Linked DNA regions of Drosophila melanogaster. The protein of the gene in region 2 interacts with the protein of the main gene of each other region in a pairwise test. Each region holds a gene or a part of one and is shown on either strand. Other genes may lie near its edges.

Evidence for each region. The genes of interacting proteins can lie anywhere in the genome.
Region 1: the proteins of Xrp1 (region 2) and Irbp18 interact in a two-hybrid assay, tested with the Drosophila melanogaster proteins (2 studies listed by BioGRID, with this or other methods).

What each region holds. Positions count from the first base shown.
Region 1 is NT_037436.4:11,095,983-11,101,766, forward strand, and holds Irbp18 (inverted repeat binding protein 18 kDa), read right to left. Parts: upstream 2,205-5,784; 5' UTR 2,160-2,204; coding exon of another isoform or gene 2,129-2,159; coding exon 2,018-2,128; intron 1,891-2,017; coding exon 1,660-1,890; 3' UTR 1,464-1,659; downstream 1-1,463. Other genes in the region: CG46439 (uncharacterized protein), read right to left, coding at 1-67; CG33947 (uncharacterized protein), read left to right, coding at 1,031-1,079, 2,110-2,159; APP-BP1 (beta-Amyloid precursor protein binding protein 1), read left to right, coding at 2,703-2,770, 2,828-2,992, 3,049-3,694, 3,761-4,094, 4,157-4,405, 4,465-4,577; Elo68beta (elongase 68beta), read right to left, coding at 4,700-5,001, 5,063-5,234, 5,291-5,453, 5,521-5,693.
Region 2 is NT_033777.3:18,911,645-18,918,912, reverse strand, and holds the start of Xrp1 (Xrp1), read right to left. Parts: upstream 3,946-7,268; 5' UTR 2,988-3,945; intron 654-2,987; exon of another isoform or gene 288-653; intron 1-287. Other genes in the region: Sgsh (N-sulfoglucosamine sulfohydrolase), read left to right, coding at 6,079-7,268.

The DNA of each region.
Region 1 (5,784 bases), on a different chromosome or scaffold from region 2:
GCATTGGCGTCACTAGGCAACTCGAAGCGGAACGCTTGAAGTAACAGTGCCTGTGTTTTGGTTCCATCCTCGGCGATCTGGCGCTTCAGTAGCGTCACATTCGGGTTCACCTCGCTTTCAACGGTCTTTGGGTTCTTTAATGGCAACAGCATTATAAATCGAAAAAATTTTGTACCATTATCTGGAAATATAACTTTTGTAATCCTGACTATTTTTTTTTTACTTTTTTTGGGGTGAATGTAAGTGTCACTGTGAAGTTTTTTCAAATGCTTGGAATTATATACCAATTTTTGCAAATTTCATAGACAATATGATTAACTTAATATTTAAAATATAAGTCTGACCAGGATTTTAATATAAGAACATAAACAAGATAAAAAAAAATTTTCAAGAATTTCAACAATTTCAAAACAACCACGCTTTTTAACGGTTTTTAACGAAATACTGAATCAGCTGTTCCTCGCTGAAAACTTTGCAACACTGCGCGAGAGAAAAAAGCGAGAGCAAGGCCGTGCAGTAAAAGAGCGAGCGAGAGCGGCCAAAACAACCAAAATAAAGTTACGTGAAATTATAAATAAAAAATAAGGAAATACACGTTCAGCTGCCGACCAGCCAAATACAACAAAGCAACGCTGTAAAAACTGAAAACACATTTCAGTTTATTTCGCCTCGTGCCATGTGAGCAACTTCAAATTGATATTGAATCGGAATCAGTGTGCGGGTGGTGCTAATTAGCGGAAGACGGCAATTTATTGAACGCGAAAAAAGCCCCACAATCCAACTTCCATTTCGACACGAAACCAACCACCCGCCAAATCAAATCGCCGTCGAGTTGTGCATCAAATGAATGTGCGAAAAGTGCAGTAAATCAATGTTTTTGTGAGTGTTTGAAAGAAGAAGACGGAAGGAGCGCCCACAACAAAAGCAAAGAGAGCAAGACCTAACGGGACACCCGAAACCAAAAACCTATCGGCACAACGACACTTTCTCAATAGCTATAGTTTTAGTTCATATGTTCATATCTCGGAAAATGGACGAGGTCTTTAGCCTACACATGGAGAAATTGGACGTTTACGACGGTTAGTATCTAATTTGCCGGAAGTTCTACTTAAACGTAGAACATATGTATATGATGGAATCTGGGTTGTATTTCTGATTAATGAGTTCATCAACTTTCAAGGAAATAATAATAGTAGTAGTAGTTGTAAACAGCTGAAGTATTGGGTATAAAATAACACTGATATGGGTAAAATCATAATAGACACTTTATTTGATTCAAGACTCGCATGATTTTAGCTGTATGAATCATGTCGAAAATAATAGAAATCACTATTACTAAATATAGATAATTTTAAAATTTAGATTCAGTGCAACATGGATACAGTGATTAAGTGTTACAATATAAACAAAAGTAAAAGAAAAGTACAACAAAAACAAGTATTTGGTGAGAAATGATAAAAACTCACCAATAATGAAAACCATTTATGTAGGATTTTAACAAACACTGTTCTCGTCTGCATGAGTGCTTGTCTTTGTAATAGAATTCGAGCAATTGCACCATTTTAATCGAAAAACTAAGATGATACACATGGTTAACAACCATGGGAAATGGCTTAAAAGTATGAAAATATAAGAAGGTAAATCAGGAGAAGCTCCTCGTTAGTCATTGTCCTTGGGATCGGGATCTGGTTCAGCGAGAATCTCCTGGATGATTCGATGGCCGTCCTCCGTTTTCTCACCCTGAATGATCAGATCTCTAAGCGTAGATATATGTTTTTCACTCGTCTCGATCTGAACCTTAAGAGCATCGTTTTGCTTCCTCAAATCATCGATGCGTTTCTTACGTTCCTCGGCCGATTTCTTGGTCTTTTCGCGTGTGCGCTGAACAGCCTGTTCCGAGAATAGTAATAAATCAATAGTGGGCATCTATTTTTGGGGACTTCTGGGGGCCACGGCGCCACAGCAACATGTTTCCCAATCTTTGCTCTCTGTTTACATCCAAAACTCTTAAACTTACCTCATTGTTTTTCTTTCTTTTTTCTTTGTACGCTGGATCGTCTGTGTGCGGACTTAATGGCGAATCGCTATTTTTGCTGGTCGACGCGGCAGTTCTCTTTTTGGCCGGCATTATCTCCGTGATAATACTGATATTTATTTAGTTCAAATTGGATCGCAATCGGACGGAAATGCAGAAGAAAACACAGCGATGTATGCGTTGTTTTGTTGTGAAATTACACGATAAAACAGCTGTTCATTAGCCCTCCCAGTGTTGCAAAATGCGCTGCCTACACTGCCCAGCCAACAAACAGTTAGCGGTATTATTTAATTAAATTAATTGCATGTTGAAAATCAATATTAAAACTCACCCAAAACCATAGCCATGGAATGCTATTCAAAAACTGTCAACCAGACACTTTATTTGGTTTGCTCAGACTTTCACTTTTTAATTTCTCAACTGTTTATACATTTTATTTGTAAAGACTGATTGCTTGTACGTAGATGTAGTTTAATGCAATAAAATTAAATGAAATGTAATACGTAATAGTCAATAAATGTTTTAAATAAGCAACAGTTAAAATTACCAACGTGTTTTTTCCAACACTCCACCCAATAAACAAATTGTGTCAGAAGTATTGGCTGCCGGCGCTTTACAGTACTGGATTATTTGCAACCGGCTTATTATTGCACAAAAATCTAGTGAAATGTCCTCGCCAGCCCCCAAATCGCCAGAGCTTTCGGATAAAAGCAAGAAATACGACAGACAAATCAGGTGAGGAGCGTTTTAATTGATAAATTCGGAAGCATAGCACTGATGACACCTATTTAGGCTGTGGGGAGAGCATGGACAGACGCTATTGGAGGCAGCCACAGTATGTTTGGTGAATGTTACGGCCGTCGGCTGTGAAACTGCCAAGGGACTGGTGCTACCCGGTATCGGAGGCTTCACTGTGGCCGATGGCAGCACCGTCAAGGAGGAGGATCTGGGCAACAAGTCGGTAGACCATCACACATTCCCTGACCACCATTATAAAGTCACTTTTTCCGTAGTTTCTTCCTCGATTCCAGCTATCTGGGCAAATCTAAAGCATTGGCTTGCATGCAACTTCTCCAGGAACTCAATCCCGACGTAAATGGCGATTATGTCGACGAGAGTGCCGACTTTTTATTAGCCAACAGACCGAACTTCTTCGACAGCTTCGATTTAGTGATTGCCTCCAATCTCAATGAGCAGACTTTGCTTCTCCTGGCCGAACGGTTATGGGAGCTTAACGTTCCATTAATCTACTGCCGATCGCTTGGCATGCTGGGCACAATACGCTTGCAAATACGGGAACACTGCATCGTGGAGGCGCATCCGGATAATCGACAGTTTGATCTGCGTCTGGAGCATCCATTCGATGCTTTGCGGGAGCATCTCGACGGCACCGAGGTGACCAGTAAGGTGCCCTGGTTGCTGGTTCTTCACAAATACCTTAATGTGTGGCAAAAACAACAAGCGGATGGGACTCAAACGCCTCGAAATTACAAAGAGAAGAATCAGTTGAAGGAGACCATTAGAGAGGAGATGAAGGCGGATGAGGAAAACTATGAAGAGGCCATCAAGGCGGTCAATACAGCCTTTGGAGCGGGACAGGTTCCCAAAAGCCTGAAAGCCATATTCGAAGATGATGCCTGCGAACAGTTAAACAAGAAGGTTGCCCATATAATCTGAATTTATACGTATACTTTACTTTCATTTGTTTTTCTTTTTTTTTTACAGAGCAACGTCTTTTGGATCATGGCCAAGGCCCTAAAGCACTTTGTGATACATGAGAATGAGGGCCATCTCCCTCTGCCTGGCGTTCTGCCGGACATGACTGCCAATACGGACTCCTATATCGCCCTGCAGCACATCTACCGCCAACAGGCGCTGCAAGACGCCGACCAGGTGTATCACAAGTGCCAGGAGTACCTTAAGCAGTTGGCTTTGCCTGCCGACAGCATTGATGAGAGAAGTGTGCGTCTCATTTGCAAAGAAGCAGCCGGACTGGCGGTCATAAGGGGTACACGCATTGCAGAGGAGTACGAGAAGAGCAGTCGCCTGCTACCACTGGGTAAAGATCTATCTATCTATTTTGGAACAACCTTAAATGACTTACCTTTCCTTGCCTTCCAGTTGAGGACAACGAGCTGCAGGGCAACCTCACGGCATACAACTTTGCGCTGCGCGCCTACGAGCGCTTCCTCAGCGAGTGTGGCAACATTCCCGGCGAGTGCATCGTTGAGCAGGACATTGGACGTCTGAAGAGCATTGCCGCCAAGATGCTTAGCGATTTGGGAATGCACGCCACCATCAGCGATGATGTTCTGCACGAGATTTGTCGATATGGCGGAGCTGAGTTGCATGCAGTGTCTGCTTTTATTGGTAAATATTCCATTTGGTTTATGCGTTGACCGATACTATATTCTGCTAATTCCTTTCAGGTGGCTGCGCTGCCCAGGAGGTGATCAAGATCATTACGAAGCAATACAAGCCAATCGATAATACTTTTATATACAATGCTATAACCACAGAAAGTGTCACATTGAAGCTATAAACAAATTGTATTTTCATAGAAATTGTACGTTCTTTTTATTCTGTGTCCCCAAATAACTAATTAAATTAGTCAACCAATTGAAACCCCTTCTATAATACTACTAACAAATTCGATTGCTATATTTACTTGGCTTTCTTTACAACTGCCGAAACACAGTATTTTTGAGCATAGAACCTACCGAACATAAAGAGAAATGGCACCATATAGGCAGCTCCGATTGGCGTTAACCATTTTCCGTACTCACAGCCCCGGAAAACTAATTGTGATGCCCAAAAGAAGATAATGGTAAACTGGACCAGCTGGAGGCCAGTTAAGTAGCGCTTCCACCAGAGGAACCTCTGGACTCGAGGACCCAGCACACTCAATGCATAATAGCTGTACATAATCACGTGCACAAAAGAGTTTATCATGCTTGGAAAAAAGGCTGCATGGAATACGAGATATTACTACTAGAAATATAATATTTTTAAGGTATATAAACTCACTTGAACCCGTCGGCAGCCATTTGACATAAGTCCAGCAAAACAAGAACATGGTGCTATGGTGGTACACATGTAGGAAGCTCAGCTGGTTCCATTTGTGGCGCAAGATGAAGAATGCCGTGTCTACGAATTCCAGTATCTTTGAGATGTAAAACCACCACATAGCTGCCGCTATCTGCATCAGATTTCGAATTCTTAACTTCTCAATTCCCAGTTGCTTCGCCAACTCACCCGGATTTCATGTGGATCATGGCTCACCCGACACTCCTGACATGCGAAGTTGTAGCCAAGACTTAGTGAAGCCGTCAGGAACTCCAGGCAAATATAACCATTGAGAAATATCATTGCCAAGCTGTGACAAAACAAGGGCACTCTCAACTGCAGCGGCTTGCATCTGAAATACCGAGTGGCCAGCGCTGGTGGTTTGTAATGGATGTGCAAATGCTTGGACTCGATCTCACCTGGCTGTCCATTTGGGCGCATAGCGCACCATAAGTAAATAGAGGGCAAGCAGTGCGATAATATTCCACGGCGATTTGACCAGTGGCCAATCCTGCGTCCGTTCGTCCGCCAAATCCGCGAATGGATACGAATAGCTCTCAGTTTTCGTATCATTACCCATCGACGACGTCATGGCATATGGTGGCTCCAAGTTTGAATCAGATCCGACTGCCAAGGGTCAGTCACTTATATACGCATTTTGATCGCTCCGTTGATGCGTTGAT
Region 2 (7,268 bases):
CACGCGAGCTTTGGCTAATTACACACTAATATATAGAAATCTAATCACTCGAAGCGCCCTATAATTAAATGTTTCCACAAAAATCCCCTGACAGTATAAAGTTTGATTGTATCTGTATGCGTGCGTTTGTTCGACGCAAGTGACGTCAGCAGTGCACTTAAGTAATTCAATATGGCGACTCGCGAGTTAAAAACAACAAAAGCGCCCTCTATGTACTACACTACTACTATACGTATATCTATATTACTTAGCATATGGAATGCTGATTGCTTTACACTACTACTTACATCAATTCGGTAAATGTGTCTTCAAGATTGGTGGTCTGGTTTTTTTGGAAAACCCGACCGCGAATTCACTTGTCTTTTCTGCTACGCAATAGGTTGGGTGGTTCCTGGCACCACCACTTGTGTATTGCTTCAAGTCCGGCCGTTGCTCGGATATAAAGGATTACTTTCTGGGATAGCGACAAATGTCCACTGTTATTGTTCCGCGATGAACAACAACGATTGCCAAGTCTTTACACTGGGTTTCCTTGGTTATATGTATTCTATATGTATTTTATAGAACTAACTTCACTGTGCGATCTCTGAGTCAACCGACTGCTTGGAGTATTCACTACGTTTTGAACGGCTGCTAGTGGCGAACAGAAATGAAACTGTTGGATTTGCTGTGCACTGTGAATTTCATTCGTTGTGAAATTCAAAAAGCTCCCACAAACCAGTTTGCCATAGCCAGATACTTTTCCCTATCGGTGTGTGTCGGTGTATTTCAGATAAGCGTTCGCTGTGAGCAAGCAAGAGAGCGCTAAAATTCCCTGTTGCCGCCAGATGGCCTGCTTTTATAAAATTTCCCCGGCATATACTATTTTCATATGAGCTACAAGTTGGAGGCTCTTTGTCACAGCCGGCCGGTGTTTTTCATATTTGTATGTAAGTATGTACTTTACCGAACCAAACATTGCAAAGTACATTTTAGTGAGACTAAGTATTCATGAGTGAGATATATTATAGGCATGAGTCATAATCGTTTGCTTGGGTGGACCGACCTATCACAATATCATTTCTATTAAATAATTAGATACATACATTTTGCACAATGAAAATAAATTGTATTTTTGACTTTCAATGCAAAAATATATAAAGACCTCTTTTTAAAATTAATGAATTTTTTTTATTAATATCTATTTATTCATAGGTTTTTTCATCAATATGTAAAAAAATAATAACAAAACTATTAACAATGAACGAGAAAAACAACTAAGTTTCCAAGTTTGCACAGATTTGACACTGTCAAGAAATTTTTTGCACAAAGTACTTAAGCTATCTTAGACTTATAGTTCATAAGAAATTATAATAACTTGAGGTAATTCTAATACTTTGCATGCATACCCTTAGCATTAATAAAATATTGCAGAAGTTTTTTCATTGAAAAAATAACTTTTCAAGATCATTTTGTTTTGGGATCTTATATTCTTTGGGTCAAGAACTTTAAACAAAATTAAAAACACAAAAGAACGAGGCATGAGAATGCATGGTTATACTAAATAATAATATATGTACGCATCTGTATGTATGTATGTATGTATGCATTAGCCCAAGGGAGTGATTTAGTTGGAAGTCTTTTAAATTTCAGAGCAAATGCATTCATTTTCTAGATTGTTTGGCCTTTAAAAATAATAGACTGTGAACCCCACGACAATCCAAAAATCGTTGAGATGTGAACTTGGGAAATTTCTTCACGTTCTTTCTCTTTCGTACAGCTCATTCGCCCACATTTGAAGAGAAGAGCTTTCTTGTCGTGGTATTAGTAAGCTCTCTTTGAATGTGTGCTCAGATAAAAGCTGTTGAATTCTCGAAATCGAAAAGCTCTGCGTACGTACGTATGCATGTATGTATAACAGCTTTAACTGATAATTTAGAAATCCATGAGTCATGCTGATAAATATAAAGCGCAAAATGAGCTTCAGCGGTTGGCAAAAACTGTCATCATGTGATATTTGTAATGGGCCTGATCTGCAGACACAAATACAATATAACCAAGGGGGGGGGGGGTCATTTTGATTATTTGCCCACGTCCTCTGATTTTAGCCCCCAAAGCTGAGGAGCTTAAATGCCAGTCCACATATGCGTGCAAAAATATGTGACTTTCAAACGACAATCTTGCGCAGCGCACCGACTGGCACGAGCTCTTGGAATATCGAAGACGACCATCAACAATGGACGCCCTCAGTTGGCAAATTAACAAAATAAATGGCCAACACGTAGCGATTCGTTCAATCTTTTCACGATGAGTGCGCATTTTTCGATTCCACGAAATGGGAATGGAAAGGTAGGGCGTTTTGCATGTGTAGATGAATAGCAATTGATCTACAAAGCCCCTTCCTTGTTCGATTTGATTATCTTATCTTATCACTTTTATCTGAAACGTGATCTACATATGTACATACAATATAGTGTGGTGGTAGCTAAAAGTGTATGACTAAGTTTAAAGTGATTTTTTGCAACAAGCAGTTGTCTGGCATATCCAAAAATGTGTTTTTTTAAGCTGTTTCGGTGTGCTCAGTCTCTAAAGTTTTAAATTAGTAAAGCCAAAGATTTTTGTATCTTCCCTACCATATATGCATGAATGTCTGTAACTCAACAGGTCACCATTATTAATTATTTAGTAATCATCCTAAAGATACAAAATTTAAGACTAGTTACTTAACTAATAATATAGAATAAGATATAAGACAGAATCCGGTTTAGAAACCCCATATAAATTTATTATTTTAAGCGTCACGTTTTCACATGTAATCAAAACACCTATCAAAACAACGCCCTACAAAAGTTCACGATTACTATAGGCCTATAGGTAGGTGGCCTCATCTATCTATGTATACTCGACGTGAAGTGTACCCAGTGTCAATGACACCGCCAGCAACAAAGTTGTGGCAACAAATGTTGCTGGCTTTGGGAAAATGAGAAATGTGGCCAGTAGTTGCTTACCCTCCATCATGTTGCTGCCACGTTGAGCAGGTTCCAATGATGACGGCACTAATATGATCTTGATCCTTGTTGCTCCTTATCTCCGGTGACTATTTGACTTATTCGAATCGGTTTCAAAAGAAAGTGCGGCGACTAAAGCGACGGCGGTTAAAGTCACGCTTCTTTCGTAGCAACTTGGAGCGTCGTAGGATCTTAGTGCCCGTAGTGCCACCAGTGCCGGTGCCGATCGTGGAGGTCTCGATATTGATTGAATTGTTGCAATAAAACTTATTGTTATGCCAGCCGCGCATACGCATACACATAAAGTTGTTGAGCATGGGAACCTGCTGCTGCGAATGTTGCACACACATGAAGACAACGACAGGCGAATGTTGCATGACGTTCTTAGGCGACGCGATGTTGGATTTCCCGCTTTTTCTCGACACTGCTGTTGCTGTTAGTGTTGCACCAACCGCAGGCAGAACGAACATAATATTGGGGCAAAATGCCTTTGAAGTGTTTTTCTCTTTTTTTTTCTTTTTTTTTTTTGGTACGGTCAGCTGTTGCTTCAGTGATACCACTTGTGTAGATCGGGCGTATGCTTAATGTACTCGTCAAGTGTTCGTGTTCACAAGCGCTTATCTATATAGCATCTAGATACAACTGTTATCTGAGATACCGAGATACGAAGTATATATAGAAATTGTTTGTTTAATTTTCGCCAATTTATTGCGTCTCTCGCAAATGTTTTTCAGGCTGTTAATCACTCTGAACTTTGCACTCAAAGTTGAGTTTATCTGGTACGTTTTACACGAAAAGAAATTACTGTTCTATGAATAGGATATCTTTGTAACGAGGTTCAGCGTTTGATGCCATTAAGATGGGATTCTAAAACACGTATCGAAAATTTCACAAATTCCACGCTGATTTGCACACCGAAAGCTCTGTCGTTTGCCTTGACTCACTGAATTGTTGTTCTGTTCGCGACGAAGTATTGTTACTAACTGACTCAACTGCGAGCACTGGACGGCAGCCGCTGGCCGGGGTTGATATAATTTTGCTGACGTCGTTGCCGGTTTCATTCACCGCTCCGTCCATATACCCTTTCCCCACCACCAATATATATTCACATATATTCACACACACGCGCTCTCTCAGCTGCTGTGTCTATTTTCTATGGCCGTGCCCCCAAAACATTTCCACGCGGGGATCTTTTTCTCTCATTATTTTTGTGATGCGGAGGATGGGCCACTCGGATAAGTGGGTGCCTCTACTTCTTAGATACTACTCTACTCTAAAACCCTTAGCTGGTTGAAAGCAGCTGAAAAAGGTGTAAACAATGCATTAGCATCAACTGATTTAAGTTCTGAAAAAAAAAAATTTCCATGTGCTATTAACTTGAGGCAAAGTATTACATACAACACAGTTAAGTTAATATAACAAAAAATATATATATTTTCAATAAACTGTGCAAAACGCAGACAGATTATTCATAGCCGTTCATATTATTTGGCTAGCGACAGTCTGAAAATTGCACAGATAGCATTTCGGTCTAAATTGGCTACAATAGATAAGAGAAGCTAAAAAAAAAGAATAAATTTTACTCTGCACCCAGATAATTTAGAAACGTAGATATTAAGGTTGTAAGTAATAGCAACTATGTTTGCTCACAAAGGGTTAATAAACTGGTATTTAATAAAAAGCCGCGAAACTTAAGTATAGTTCAATACTTTGCGTATTTTTTCGCGCCTAAATATTCATTTATATTCATATGATCATTCACAGGATTTTTAATGTAAATGTAAGTATTTATGGTTACATATGTCACCTATGTCCGCTCCAAAAGGTATAGGGCAACTGGTTTGGCAGCCTGCCATGCAGCAACAACAAACAATACAGATTCGCACTCTTTCTCTCCACGTGAGTGAAACTCTCTCTCGCTGGTTGAGATTGGCTGATGCAACACTTGCCACACGTTGCAACAGCTGTTTTAGTCTGGCCCAGCTGATTCGTATTGTTGGCTTGTTGCCAGAGACTGCGAAAATCTCTTGGCAACATGTTGCCACAACTTTTGGAAAACTCATAGTGTTGTTAAACATGTTGGGCGAAATTTTCACACCGGTGCAGGGCAAAAAGGGGGTGGCTTAAACTGTAGCTGGCTGGCTGGCTTAAATTAGCCGGCCGATGATTCATTTTGGGGGTTGTCCACTTACATAAGATGAGCTCACCCAATGTGAAAACTCTTTAGTCGCTGGAAGAAACTGCGCATTTCGACACAGAAAAGCCTAAACAAGCAGAACGAACATTTGTTTTGTAGATTTATAATTTTTCAAAACATACAATCGCATTGCACTTTGCGATTGGCCTTGACACCCTGACGTGGTTCCATTTGGCGACACTGTTCCTGCTTTTATCTTCTCCATGGCGCAAGATAAAATCAGAAAGTACAACGTGTTGATCACCTAATGGCCAGAGTCATGCAAACCAAACTCTTGGTGATTTAAATCTATTTCCATGTCTGTCACAAAAGAATACTGCTTATTATTATATGGCGGGTTATAATTTACCAAAGTACACAAAATGTTACAATACAATACAGTTGAATATATACTAGTTAAATGTACATATGTTTTATAACAGCTCATTGGCTGTGTTTTAATGGTTTATAAATGTAAAGTGTTTTTAAAGCATTTTAAATTTCAAATGAAACATTTTTTTTGTGGAAGTGCTGTTTTTTATACTGTTCAGATATATCTCACTGATATTTATGATGATTCTTTAATCGTATGACTGTACAGTACCCTCACACTTTAGTTCTCTGTATGGTGTGTTGACTGTAGTCAAACCGCTCCCAAAGAAAGTCGGGCAAAGTGAATGTACCTAGGCGCGCTCCCGCTGAGCATTTGTTGTGTTGATGAGATTAAAACTGGAACTGGGAATGGAATTGAATGCGTCTTAAACGGAGAACGGAGAAATGAGAGGCTTTGTGGACACTTAAAAGTATGCGGCTCTCTTGAGCCGTACTTCAGTACGCTGACGTCGACTGAAGAATCGCTTTGTTCTGCGCTCTCAAATATATTTAATTTGGATTTGGAACTGGATTTATGTCAACATGCAATTTCTGCAGTGGATTTTTACACTATGGCTAATTGCTGGTTGCTCCGCTGGCCCGCAGAATGTCCTGCTGCTTCTGGCTGACGATGCCGGCTTCGAATCGGGCGCCTATCTGAACAAATTCTGCCAAACTCCCAATCTGGACGCACTGGCAAAACGCGGATTGCTTTTCAACAACGCCTTCACCTCGGTAAGCAGTTGCAGTCCCAGTCGCTCGCAGTTGCTCACCGGCCAGGCTGGTCACTCCAGCGGAATGTATGGACTCCATCAGGGCGTGCACAACTTCAATGTTCTTCCGGATACCGGATCGCTGCCCAATTTAATCCGTGATCAAAGTGGCGGACGGATCTTGAGCGGCATCATTGGCAAGAAACATGTTGGGGCCGCCAACAATTTCCGTTTCGATTTCGAGCAAACAGAGGAGCAGCATTCCATCAACCAGATTGGCAGAAACATCACCCGGATGAAGGAGTATGCCAGGCAGTTTCTCAAGCAGGCCAAGGACGAAAAGAAACCCTTCTTCCTGATGGTCGGCTTCCATGATCCCCATCGTTGTGGCCACATCACCCCGCAGTTTGGAGAATTCTGTGAGCGTTGGGGCAGCGGAGAGGAGGGAATGGGCAGCATACCCGACTGGAAGCCCATCTACTACGATTGGCGTAACCTGGACGTGCCCGCCTGGCTGCCCGACACGGATGTAGTGCGTCAGGAGCTGGCTGCTCAGTACATGACCATCTCGAGGTTGGATCAGGGAGTTGGTCTAATGCTGAAGGAGCTAGAAGCAGCCGGCGTGGCAGATCAGACACTCGTGATCTACACCTCCGACAATGGACCACCGTTTCCCGGAGGCAGAACCAATCTCTACGAGCACGGCATACGATCGCCCCTGATCATTAGCTCTCCCAATAAGGAGGATCGTCATCATGAAGCCACTGCTGCCATGGTCAGTCTTTTGGATATATACCCCAGTGTAATGGATGCTCTTCAGATTCCCCGACCGAATGACACCAAAATCGTTGGCAGATCGATACTCCCAGTACTGCGGGAGGAACCTCCGATCAAGGAGAGCGATTCGGTGTTCGGTAGTCACAGTTACCACGAGGTGACCATGGCCTATCCCATGAGAATGGTGCGCAATAGGCGCTACAAGCTTATCCATAATATCAACTACTGGGCAGACTTCCCCAT